Linked DNA regions of Canis lupus familiaris. The protein of the gene in region 2 interacts with the protein of the main gene of each other region in a pairwise test. Links are inferred from orthologs where the notes say so. Each region holds a gene or a part of one and is shown on either strand. Other genes may lie near its edges. The genes, in order: ABHD17A, HPGDS and MELTF.

Region 1 (3,214 bases), on a different chromosome or scaffold from region 2:
CCAGGCAGCAGTCTGTCCTGGCCTTGGCTGCTCTGTGGCCCCTGGGGGTGGCAGATGAATCCTAGACAGATGGCATGGAGATGGGCTGGGGGGAGAGTCTGGGCCAGCCGTGTGGACAGGGGCCTGGGGAGGGTGACAGGGTATGTGTGGGCACAGAGCAGGGGGCTGTGTGGGGGATTGCTGGGGTGAGCCAGGGGTCTCATCGCCCAGCACAGCCTGCAGGCCGAGGCTGGGCTGACAGGTGGCAGACGTGGCAAGAGTTGGTGACCGCACGCCGAGGGAGGGTGCAGCAGGTGCTGGTCTGGTAGCTTTGGGTCCACCCACAGAGGGACCCATCCTGTGGATGACGAACTGGGCCCACAGGTCCATGGGGTGGAGGGGGAGCAGTTCGGGCAAGAGTGGACTGGGCCGTGAGGAGGGCCAAGAGACCTCCCCGTGGAACCCGAGGGAACCCCACCTCTCGCTCTTCCCCTGCAGGGTTTCCCTCTGCACGACGTGGAGATGCAAGGCTGCGAGGCTCCCGAGGGCTCGGCTTGGACCACGATGGGGCTGGGCTGCGGCCTCCTAAGGGGGCTCCTGTCTGGGGCGGTGGCTGGGGGTTGCCCTCCCCCCTGCCCGCGTCTCAGAGCACCCCCACCCCTCCCCTGCCAAGCGAGGCCCACCCTGGGGCCTGGCGCCCGCCATGAACGGCCTGTCAGTGAGCGAGCTCTGCTGCCTTTTCTGCTGCCCACCCTGCCCCGGCCGCATTGCTGCCAAGCTCGCCTTCCTGCCGCCGGAGCCTACCTACTCGCTGGTGCCGGAGCCCGAGCCGGGGCCTGGTGGAGCTGGGGCTGCCCCTTCGGGGACCCTGCGGGCCTCTGCTGGCACCCCCGGGCGCTGGAAGCTGCACCTGATGGAGCGTGCTGATTTCCAGTACAGCCAGCGTGAGCTGGACACCATCGAGGTCTTCCTGACCAAGAGCAGCCGGGGCAACCGCATCTCCTGCATGTACGTGCGCTGTGTGCCCGGCGCCAGGTGAGCCCACGGAACCGGGGCAGGACCCAGACGCGCGTGGAGGGGTAGATGGACCTAGTCAGGGTGGGGGGTGCCCGGTACGGGACATGCTCCATGCTCGGGCCTTTCGTTTCCTGCCAGAGGCAGCTCCCAGATGGCCAGGGCCCGGGTGAAGGCCCATCTGGCGGCGCAGGCACCCTGGGGGTTCTTGCCAAAGAGGGTGGCTGATGAGATTCTCCAAGAGCAGGCCCCACTCCACCCATGGCCCCGTGGGACCGCCCCAGGCCCCTCATGCCGGTGCCCTTCCAGACGCAGCCCCGTCACACGGATGAGTGCCAAGGCTCAGGGAGGCCGATCGCAGTGGCCGTCACCCCTGCCTGCTGAGGTGCGGCCCGCTTCAGGGTCTCCGCACTCACCTGCCCTGGGAAGGGCTTCTGGGTGCTGGGTGCTCAGTGAGGCCTCGCCATTCGCTTTGGGACCAGGGCACCCGAGGCCTGGCAGGTGGCTCGGGCCAAGTCTGACTCCTCATTAACAGGGTGTCCTTGGGGCTCTCCCTTAAGCACCAGAGCAGGAAAGAGGTGGGGCCTTCTAGGTGTTTCTGCCTTTAGACCAGACAGGGTTCTGACTCCACATCTGAGTACAAAGGGCAAGTTTTTGCCTTTTAGCGAGGCTGGGGCCCAGGGGTGCTGGAGGAAGAAGCCACTTGGAGTCCATTGGCCAGGATCCAGCCTGTCGGTGTGACCTGGGGCGGGTCCTGATCTGCCAGCAGCCTTGCAGGGCAGAAACGAGTGCCAGGGTTGGGGTCTGTAGGAGTGGGAAGAGACGCTGCGAACAGGGATTGGTCTTATTGTGGGGTAAGGGTGGGTGCTGGCTATCAAGAGGAGAAGCCGCTGTCTCATTCTCTGGAAGGTTCCAAGCAGCAGGCATACGTGTGTGCCATCCTTGAGCTCTCAGAGTCCCTCTAAAAGGAGTGATTCCAGAGGACAGCCATGGCCCAGAGGGAACGAACGTGGCGGTCACTGAGCTTGCTGAGCTCACACTGTGGGTCCACCCTGCGCTGAGACCCTGCCCAGTGGTCCCAGGGTTCCCTTCCTCTCACAGAGGGGACATCTAAGGTTCTGCTGCTGTCCCCTGCCCAAGACCTCACAGCCAGGAGGGAGTCTCCCTCATTAATATTCTTGTCTGTGGTGGTTGGGGGCCCAGGGGGTGTCCTATCCCCATGCTTTCTGACCTGTCCTCCCTCCGTCCCTGCCCCAGGTACACGGTTCTCTTCTCCCACGGCAACGCGGTGGACCTGGGCCAGATGAGCAGCTTCTACATTGGCCTGGGCACGCGCATCAACTGCAACATCTTCTCCTACGACTACTCTGGCTACGGCGTCAGCTCTGGCAAGCCCTCTGAGAAGAACCTCTATGCTGACATCGATGCTGCCTGGCAGGCGCTGCGTACCAGGTGGGCTTTATGTTGGGGTGGGGGTGAAGGCAAGGGGGCAAGGGGGAAGCCTAGGCTACGTCTGGGTGGGGCAGGCACCTCTCCCCTCCTGGGAACCCCTTGCCTGGCAGGGCTGTGGATGGGCCGGGGCTGTCCCTAGGGGAGTAGAGGTTCTGTCTGGAGGTGGGTGGTTGGAGGATGCGGACTGTGTAAAAAGACTCTGAGAGTCTCGGCAGCGAGGGAGCATTTGGTGTGCACGGTAGAGTGGGGCTGCTTTGTCATAGTCTCAGAGCTGGCCTGCGAGGCATGAGTAGCCACTCACTGTGGTCTCCTCTTGAGGTAGGGCTCCTTTGGGCCCTGGAGGATTCTGGAAGGTTCTAGAGGGCTCTGTCAGGAAGCTTGGTGTCTAGCACAGCCTTGGGGCCAGTGGGAGGCTAGGAGCAGAGGCTAGGTCCTCTTTGGGTTAGGGTCCCCAGGACATACCTGTGTGCTTGCCTTAGGGCCACCAGGGTCTGGGCCCACCTCCCTCCCTGGAGCCCCCATCATGCTCCTCATCCAGTTCCTGGGCAGCCCCCTCCCCACCTTATTGCTTATTCACTGAAGCGTACTAACTTGGCGTCTGAGCCCAGAGAATCCTTTGGAAGGAGGCCACCCTGACTCTGACCCTCCTGGAAGTAGTGGGGCCCTGCCCACTGCCTCCTTGGGGCTGCCCCATCTCAGCCCTGCCTGGCTGACCTGCCCCACCCGTGCCTATAGGGACCAAAGTCAGCTTCCCCTGGGGATGTGGGGA
Region 2 (4,257 bases):
GATTCGATCCCGGGTCTCCAGGATCGTGCCCTGGGCCAAAAGCTAAACCGCTGCGCCACCCAGGGATCCCCCCGCAAAAGATTTTTTTAAATGTAAGTTAAAACTCAGTGAAAGATAATAAATACAATATGCTAATTTTGTATAGTTCCTTTTTTTTTTTTTTTGCACTTAATTTTGACTTACATACTTTTTTCTTTTTTTTTTTTTTTTTGGTGACTAAGGAGCTGTATTTGTAGCCTAATTAAACTTTTCACAGACCAAAAAAATATTTATATAGTTTTTCATTTCTTATGCTTACAATCAATGGACATAAACATATTTTTGAAAGTTTAAAGCAGTTATAAATGGGAACTATTACATGATTGATAGGTTTCTATAACTGTTTGTGAGTGTAATTATCTGGAAGTTGAAAGCCAGCCTGTCATTAAAATGTTTTAGTGATCTGTAGGTCCAGTAATGCACAAGCAGGTATTTCGCTGGATCGTTTCACTGAACTGTCCCAATATTATAGCTGGAATTAATTGGAGTGAAAAAAAATAAATTTCTAAAACAATTAGGCATTTGTTACTAATCTATGTAAGAATTATCAACAAGGGATGTTAGAACCTTCCACTCCAGGTTTACTTTATTTTTTTTAATTTATTTTAAATTTAATTATTTTTTTAATTTAATTTTTTAATTTATTCATTTGATAGAGAACGCGTGTGCACACAAGCAGGGAGGGGGCAGAGGGAGAAGAAGAAGCAGACTCCTCACTGAGCACAGTGCCTGAGGCACAGTGCCTGATGCCTTCAGCTCAGGATCCCGGACCCTGGGATCACGACCTGAGCCAAAGGTAGACGCTTCACTGACTGAGCCACCCAGGCAACCCTCTTCCCAGGTTTACTTTCAACAGTATGGCTCTTCTGAGAAAAAGAAGGTAAGTGAAATATTCTAGCAGTAATGAGAACTTAAGAAGTCCTCGTAAAAATGTGATTTGTGGGGAAATATAAATTGAGATCATTCATTCAGCAAAAATACTATTAGCGCTTATGGTGTACCTGGCATTCCTTTCCATAATGAGGGCACCAGGGTAAACTGAATAATGAAGTACCTGCCCGGACAGAGCTCACCTTCTGCTGGGGGAGGGTGAAAACCAACCAAGAATATACACTATGCTGTCAGACACGATAATGAAGAAACACACAGCAGGTGAAGGAGATTGGAGGAGGGTTCCAGTGAGAACATGGTCAGCCAAACATTCTCCAAGGAGACCTAATGAATTGAGGAAGCCAGCCACGTGCATATCTGAAAACAAGGCTTGTTTGTGTTCACTCTCTTTCATTCCCCAGGAGCCTATGGTGTAAGGTTTTAAACAGAAATGAGCACGTAGCAATAGGCACACATCAGCACCTGTAACTTTGATTTTACTAACTGAATGCAAATAGGTTAGGTTATTTACACACAGAGATCCTATAAAATGCCAAGAATAACCAGAAGTCTCTGCAGGATTGGACTGTTTGGCAGGCATATTTCATCTAAGAAATGAAGAAAGAGACTTAGGTGGAAGTAAGTCACTTCATCTCTCATTGGCTTGTGGCGGTCACTTACTCATCATATAAACCCAAGATGTAGTCACTTCTGAGAGCACAGAAGATACTAGAGACTCCACGGAGACAGCACAAGTAAGTGAAAAGACTTTACAAAGATAAGAAATGAGATAGTGTTCTTTCTTCATCTTAGTGTTTATTTTTATTACTGTCATATTTTACATGTGACTGAGCAACTGATGACATAATTTCACCATGCCACTCATTCGGGTCTCATTCAGAGCCTCTTTGTTAGTGGCCAAGTAGAAATCATACAATAGTCTTTCTTTCTTTCTTTCTTTCTTTCTTTCTTTCTTTCTTTCTTTCTTTCTTTCTTTCTTTCTTTCTTTCTTTCTTTCTTTCTTTTCTTTCTTCTTTCTTTCTTTCTCTTTCTTTCTTTCTTTCTTTCTTTCTTTCTTTCTTTCTTTTTTTTTCTTTCTTTCTTCCTTCCTTCCTTCCTTCCTTCCTTCCTTCCTTCCTTCCTTCCTTCCTTTCCTCTTTCTTTTATTTCTCTTTTTCTGCTAAGGAATTTTCTTTCTAATATTTTCTACCACTTTAAGGCTCATTTTGTTGAAGCGTCTCCATGTTTTGCCAAGAATTGTATTCTATCATCATTTGGTTTCAAAGGTAATTGGAGGCATTTACCACAGGCTAAGAATCTGAGCTCACAGCTCCCAAAGGATATTTCTGTTATTCCTCTTTGAGGCAAGCATTTAAAATGATATTTAGTTGGTTTTTGATGGGAAAAGAGAGATCCTGGCTTGCCAATGTAAAATGAAACATTCAGGGTTTGACTGAAATCAGTATTTTACTCAGGTAACAAAAATGCTTATGTTTCTTTATTGTCCACAACTTACTCCAACCTGGCAACTTTTCCAGAACCAAACTAGACATGCTCAGGGACCCTGTGAAGGAGGGAAATCAACATTCTTTACCACCAACTGTTAGCGAGTAATGCAATGCTGTCATTTAATGTCATAATGTCATAACAACTTCTTATGTAGACAACAGCATCTTGTGTGATTGCTCTTTAAATCCAATTTTTACATTTCAAAACACTACAGTCTATATAATGGGAGTACAAACATTGTACTCTGCTGGTACATCTTGTATAGTTTAAATACTGGTCAAGTTGAGATATAGCAAAGTGCTATCAGCAAATTCACAAGTAATCTTTGTTTTTATACTTCAAACCCACAGGTTATTGTATTACTACTAGGCATATATAAAACTGTATCTGAAATTCTCGAGTATGTTTGATGCTCCTTTAATTTAAGAGTAAGGGCTCACATAGATGAACATTTTTAGGAGTAAAATAAAGATAGTGTTAGGGTTTTTAAGCAAATTGTAAAATGGTTAATATTTAATTCCTTATTTGAACATTTTCTATCCATCAAAATTACTCCCAAAATGCAATTCCTTTTTCAGTTATCTGTTGAAATTTTGAAGGTGTATAACATAGTAAATGAATATTAGCCTCCTTTGCCAGAATTGAGTTTGGATGGTTAGCTCCTTTCTGGCATAGACACTAGCATTTTTGATATTATGTTTTACTGTGCTCTTACAGCAACATACAGATTAGAATATTAGCTCAGCTAAGACGAAATGGTTTTATTATAGCTTTTTTTTTTTTATCAATGACTGTATTAAAATTGCCTCTGGGATTGAATGCTCCTGTGTTTTGTGGTTGTTAATCAGTTGAGAAGTACCAGGGTTACATAAAATAAAAAGAGCTGCAAGTCAGGAGAAAGGAGGCCTCCAAGACAGAACTTTTCAAACCTATTATTTCCCGTGTAAAAGACTTACTTTATTTTTAAGATTTTACTTATTTATTCATGAGAGGCACACAGCGAGAGGTAGAGACATAAGCAGAGGGAGAAGCAGGCTCCCTGTGGGGAGCTTGAAGAGGGACTCGATCCCAGGACCCTGAGATCACAACCTGAACCAAAGGCAGATGCTCAACCACTGAGCCACCCAGGCATTCCGAAAGATTTACTTTCTAAATAAGGTTAGCATATAGTAAAAGCTAAATCATCTTTTGTATTTAACGGCTCCATCCGAGTTCAGAGATGAAAGTGTCTATCCAGGGGTTTTATGAATCCTCATTTGTATGTTCTTTGGGAAACTGTGTATCTTATTTTTCAAACACAATTCTCAGTGGGTTTTTTTATTTAGCTGGTGAATCAGGAACCTTATTTTTTTTAAAAGATTTTTAATTTATTTGAGAGAGACAGAGAGAGAGAGAGAGAGAGAGAGAGTGCATGATGAGGAGGGAGGGGCAGAGGGAGAAGGAGAAAGGAAGCAGGAAGCAGGAAGGAGCAGGCCCTGGGGTTTGATCCCATAATCCTGAAATCATGACCTGAGCCAAAGGCAGATGCTTTTTTTTTTTTTTTTTTTTAAGATTTTATTTATTTTTTTGAGAGAAAGAGAGAGAGTACATACATGAGAGACTCTCCGCTGAGCAGGGGGTGGAAGTGAATCCCAGGACCCTGCCAAAATGACCGGAGCTGAAAGTAGATGTTTAACCGACTGAGCCACCCTGGTGCCCTTTGAATGAGAAACTTTAAATGACTTTCTTCAGAGTGGAAGGAAGCCAGTCCTTAGTTTTAGTTGTAAAGGAAAGCGTTAAGCATGATGAGCTTCCCTTTTGATTTCTTGTTCTGTATCATTTAGGGAAATATTTTGCAGT
Region 3 (4,077 bases), on a different chromosome or scaffold from region 2:
GTATTCTGGAATAGAGTTGGGAAGAGAGGTGGTCCCAAAACAGTGTTGTTTAGGTCCCCACGCCTTCTAGGAGTCTCCGTGAAACTAGTTCTTGTTTCTAGAAGGAAGCTCGGGGGCACTCTCCCTCTCCTCAGTGGGAGTCCAGAAAGGGACCAGACTATCCTGCAGCCCTTCTCCTCTATAAAGCTCTTTCCAGGGGCAGCCCCGGTGGCGCAGGGGTTTAGCGCCACCTGCAGCCCAGGATGCGATCCTGGAGACCCGGGATCGAGTCCCACAACAGGCTCCTTGCATGGAGCCTGCTTCTCCCTCTGCCTGTGTCTCTGCCTGTGTCTCTCTCTGTGTGTCTCTCATGAATAAATAAATAAAATCTTTAAAAAAATAAAAAAGCTCTTTCCAGGGCCCCCGAGTGGCCCAGCGGCTGAGCGTCTGCCTTCGGCCCAGGGCGTGACCCCGGGGTCGTGGGATCGAGGCCCACGTCGGGCTCCCTGCAGGGAGCCTGCTTCTCCCCCTGCCTGGGTCTCTCATGAATAATGAAGCCCATTTATCTATATGAAGCTCTTTCCGGGTTGAGTGACCGGCCCCGGATGCTCCGATTGCCTCCCGACCGTTCCTCCGACCCCCGAAGTGGCAGGCCCCAGGCCCAAGGCCCCAAGGCCAGGGTTCCCCGTCTCGCCGAGGACCCGGGTGCGTGTGTCATGGGCAGCCCCTCCCGGCTGAGGGCCCGGCAGAGCGGGGCGGGGGGTCTCACCGGTGGGTCACGGCGGGGCCCAGGCATAGGGAGGGGCCGCGTGGCCGAGCCGCTGCCTGGACTCCCGGCGTGTGTCCTCCTGGACGGATCGTGGGAAGGCCGGGGGCGCTCAGGGTGGGGGCGCCCAGGAGGCTTGCTCCCCCGGGCCGGGCCAGGCCACCGCGTCCCCAGCCGGAGACCCCGCTCGACCCCCTCCCCGCGGGGCGGGGCAGCCCCGGGACGCGCACACGGGCTCCCGGCCTCCAGCTTCCTGGGTCCTCGACGACGCGGGTCAGCCCCGGTGCGGCGGGCGGGGGGGACCGGGTCAGCCTGGGGTGCGGCCTGGGGCACGGCCGGCAGGGGGCGCAGCGGGCCAGGACCCGGGCAGCCCCGGTGGCGGGACGGGGACGGGGACGGGGACGGCAGGGCCGGCGGGGCGGGGGCCAGTCCCGGGGGCGGGGCGGGGCGGGGCGGGGCTGGGCGCGCACTTAAGCGGCGGGGCGGGGGCGGGGGCCTGGCTGCGGGGCCGCGGAGCCCGACGGCGTCATGCGGGGCCCGAGCGGGGCCCTGTGGGTCCTCCTGGCGCTGCGCACAGGTGAGGCCGGGCCGCGGGGCAGGGGCAGGGGCGGGGGCGGGGCCGAGCGCAGCCGGGGGCGCTGGGGGAGCCCAGGGGGCGTCTGGAGGGCTTCCCGGAGGGGGCGGCCTGCGCCTTCGAGCGGCGGAGGCGGGGCGGGGCGGGCGGGCCCGGGAGCGGCCGCGGAGCCCCGAGGGACGGGCGCCCCAGGGCGGTCTCCTGGGCCCTCGCCGTGCGTCCCCGAGGGAGCCGGGACCTGGGCGAGAGGCGCCAAGAGGGGCGGGAAGGGCCGGAGCCCACGCGCCGTCGCCGGTGCCCCCGGGCCAGAGAGCAGGGCTGGGCTGAGCGCGGCCCCGACCCCCGGCCCCTCGGCCCCCCCCGGGTCTGGGACGCCCCTGTGGCCGCGGACCTCCCAGGGGAGGGGCAGGGCTGGTCGCGGACTCGCTGTGCACGTCCGCGGGTGACCCGGGAGGCCGCGGTGCTGGGGCAGTGGGCAACCCCCCCCCCCCCCCCGTCCCCCAGCCCTCAGCGGGGCGCAGGTGCGCAGGTTAGGGCAGCTGGACCCCCCCCCCGTCCCCCAGCCCTCAGCGGGGCGCAGGTTAGGGCAGCTGGACCCCCCCCCCCCCCCCCGCCGTCCCCCAGCCCTCAGCGGGGCGCAGGTTAGGGCAGCTGGACCCCCCCCCCGTCCCCCCAGCCCTCAGCGGGGCGCAGGTTAGGGCAGCTGGACCCCCCCGCCGTCCCCCAGCCCTCAGCGGGGCGCAGGTGCGCTGGTGCACCACCTCAGACCCCGAGCAGCGCAAGTGCGGCGACCTGAGCAAGGCCTTCGGAGCCGCAGGGATCCAGCCGCCCGTCGGGTGTGTGCAGGCCCCTTCCGCCGACCACTGCATCCGGCTCCTCGCGGTGAGCGCCCCACCCGCTGGGCCGGGGGGGGGGGGGGGAGGGGTCCGACGGGGCACCACAAGGGCTCCATTCACGGCGAGGCTCCGGGTGGCCCGAGTCTCCAGGCAACGGGGCCAGGGCTTCCTGGCCAGCCGGTCCCGCCCAGGTGGGGCCCGGGCACAGTCCTCCCTCCAGGAGAGGCCCCTGCGACAGTGGGGACGCTGGCACCGGCCGCACACCCACCCCGGAGGGGCCCCGGGGGCGCCAGGAGGGCTCGTGCAGTTTCCCAGGAGAGGGCTGGTGGCAGCCCCGGGCGCAGGGAGCGGGGTGCAGGGTGCAGGGAGCGGGGTGCGGGGTGCAGGGAGCGGGGTGCCAGGGGCAGGGAGCGGGGTGCGGGGTGCAGGGAGCGGGGTGCCAGGGGCAGGGAGCGGAGTGCCAGGGGCAGGCAGGCGACCTGGCCCAGCTGGCACCGCCCCTGCGAGCTTGGCCCTCAAGGCCCGACTCCGGGCAGGCACGGCCGGGGGGCCTGGGTCCCCTTGTACTGGGCCCTGACTTCTCTGCAGACCTAGTGCAGGTCCCACGCGGGCCACGGGCTTGCGTGAGGCTCCACTGCCAGGTCCCCCGAGCTAGACGCCATGGCGACCCCAGGACGCTGACAGCATCCTGCCATTTGTGTTTTAGGAGAAAAAAAAAAATGAGGAGGGCATCCGTGGGCCTCGGTCTGCGTCCTAGGAAACCTGAGAAACGGGTTAACAGCGGAGTCGGGGCTCAGAAACAGGGAAACGAGGGAGATTCACCATCTCGCTATGCACCATTTTGTACCATCTGATTTATTCATTCATTTATCCTTAGTGTGTAAAGCCATTAGAAGCCCTAGAAAATTAATAATTTTTAAATGACATAATTAGGAAGCCAAGGCAAGCCTTGACCTAGGAGAGCTGTCACCTGGGACCTGGTAAAGGGTGAGCCCCCTACTCTCGGGGTGCAGGCTGAGCCAGGGCAGGGGACCGGGCCAGAGGACCAGGAGGGACGTCCCGGCAGGCCAGCGGATGGCCCGAGCAGCTGGTCGCGAGGCCCAGGCGGCCGGGCTGGCCTGACCACGTGTCCCCGGCAGGCCCAGGAGGCTGACGCCATCACCCTGGACGGAGGAGCCATCTACGAGGCCGGGAAGGAGCACGGACTGAAGCCCGTGGTGGGCGAAGTGTACGACCAAGGTCAGCAGGCGAAGCGGCCTGGGGGGCGGGAGGCGAAGAGGCTGTCCCCGCAGCGTGTCCCTGCTGGGCCCCGCACAGCCTGCAGCCCTCAAGCCGGTCGGTAGCCCTGTCCCCATAGCAGTCCTGGGGTCCAGGCCAGACTGACCTACACAAGCCCCCCCCGCTCAGAGCAGGGGTGCCAGAGACACAGAGAGCTGACTCGAGTCCGTTCTTCCTTGCGGGAATCCCATCACCCCATAACTTGTAAAGTGGGGAGAGCGGCCTCAGTCCTGTCCCACAGACTAAATGAATCAGCAGGTGCGCACCTGATGCATGGTATGTGCATAGGACTGGGAGTTCCTTTGCCCCAGTCCCTGCGCCTCACACCCCCACATGCTCTAACCCGGCTGCCCCCTGGGAAGCTCACCCAGGACCTGCACGTGTCCAAGGGCTAGCCCCGGTCACGGCCCGGCTCGCTGTCACCTCTAAGGGTGACCCCTGACCCCTCCCCTGGCCCGAAAGAGCTTCTCTTTCCTGTTTTCCCGGAGCTCTGACCCACTCTATCAGGATCCCATCTTCTGTCCTGTTTTCTCTGTCCCTGGCACAGTGGGCCCCTCGAGGAGGGCCTGGTCCTCATCTTTGACACCCCTAGGTCCCTGGTATCCCGCGCAGGCGCTCACTTGGCCCCTTGGTGAATGGGTGAC

What was found.
Region 1: the proteins of HPGDS (region 2) and ABHD17A interact in binary tests that used the Homo sapiens proteins (3 or more experiments, as listed by UniProt). The two-hybrid records come from large-scale screens. The link is inferred for Canis lupus familiaris from reciprocal best matches to the Homo sapiens genes HPGDS and ABHD17A.
Region 3: the proteins of HPGDS (region 2) and MELTF interact in binary tests that used the Homo sapiens proteins (3 or more experiments, as listed by UniProt). The two-hybrid records come from large-scale screens. The link is inferred for Canis lupus familiaris from reciprocal best matches to the Homo sapiens genes HPGDS and MELTF.

What each region holds. Positions count from the first base shown.
Region 1 is NC_049241.1:57,556,354-57,559,567, forward strand, and holds part of ABHD17A (alpha/beta hydrolase domain-containing protein 17A), read left to right. Parts: intron 1-477; 5' UTR 478-682; coding exon 683-1,014; intron 1,015-2,250; coding exon 2,251-2,445; intron 2,446-3,214. UniProt on the Homo sapiens protein: Hydrolyzes fatty acids from S-acylated cysteine residues in proteins. Has depalmitoylating activity towards NRAS. Has depalmitoylating activity towards DLG4/PSD95. May have depalmitoylating activity towards MAP6.
Region 2 is NC_049253.1:22,728,717-22,732,973, forward strand, and holds the start of HPGDS (hematopoietic prostaglandin D synthase), read left to right. Parts: upstream 1-1,335; 5' UTR 1,336-1,664; intron 1,665-4,257. UniProt on the Homo sapiens protein: Bifunctional enzyme which catalyzes both the conversion of PGH2 to PGD2, a prostaglandin involved in smooth muscle contraction/relaxation and a potent inhibitor of platelet aggregation, and the conjugation of glutathione with a wide range of aryl halides and organic isothiocyanates.
Region 3 is NC_049254.1:30,703,856-30,707,932, reverse strand, and holds the start of MELTF (melanotransferrin), read left to right. Parts: upstream 1-1,238; 5' UTR 1,239-1,273; coding exon 1,274-1,322; intron 1,323-2,046; coding exon 2,047-2,201; exon of another isoform or gene 2,202-2,206; intron 2,207-3,294; coding exon 3,295-3,394; intron 3,395-4,077. UniProt on the Homo sapiens protein: Involved in iron cellular uptake. Seems to be internalized and then recycled back to the cell membrane. Binds a single atom of iron per subunit. Could also bind zinc.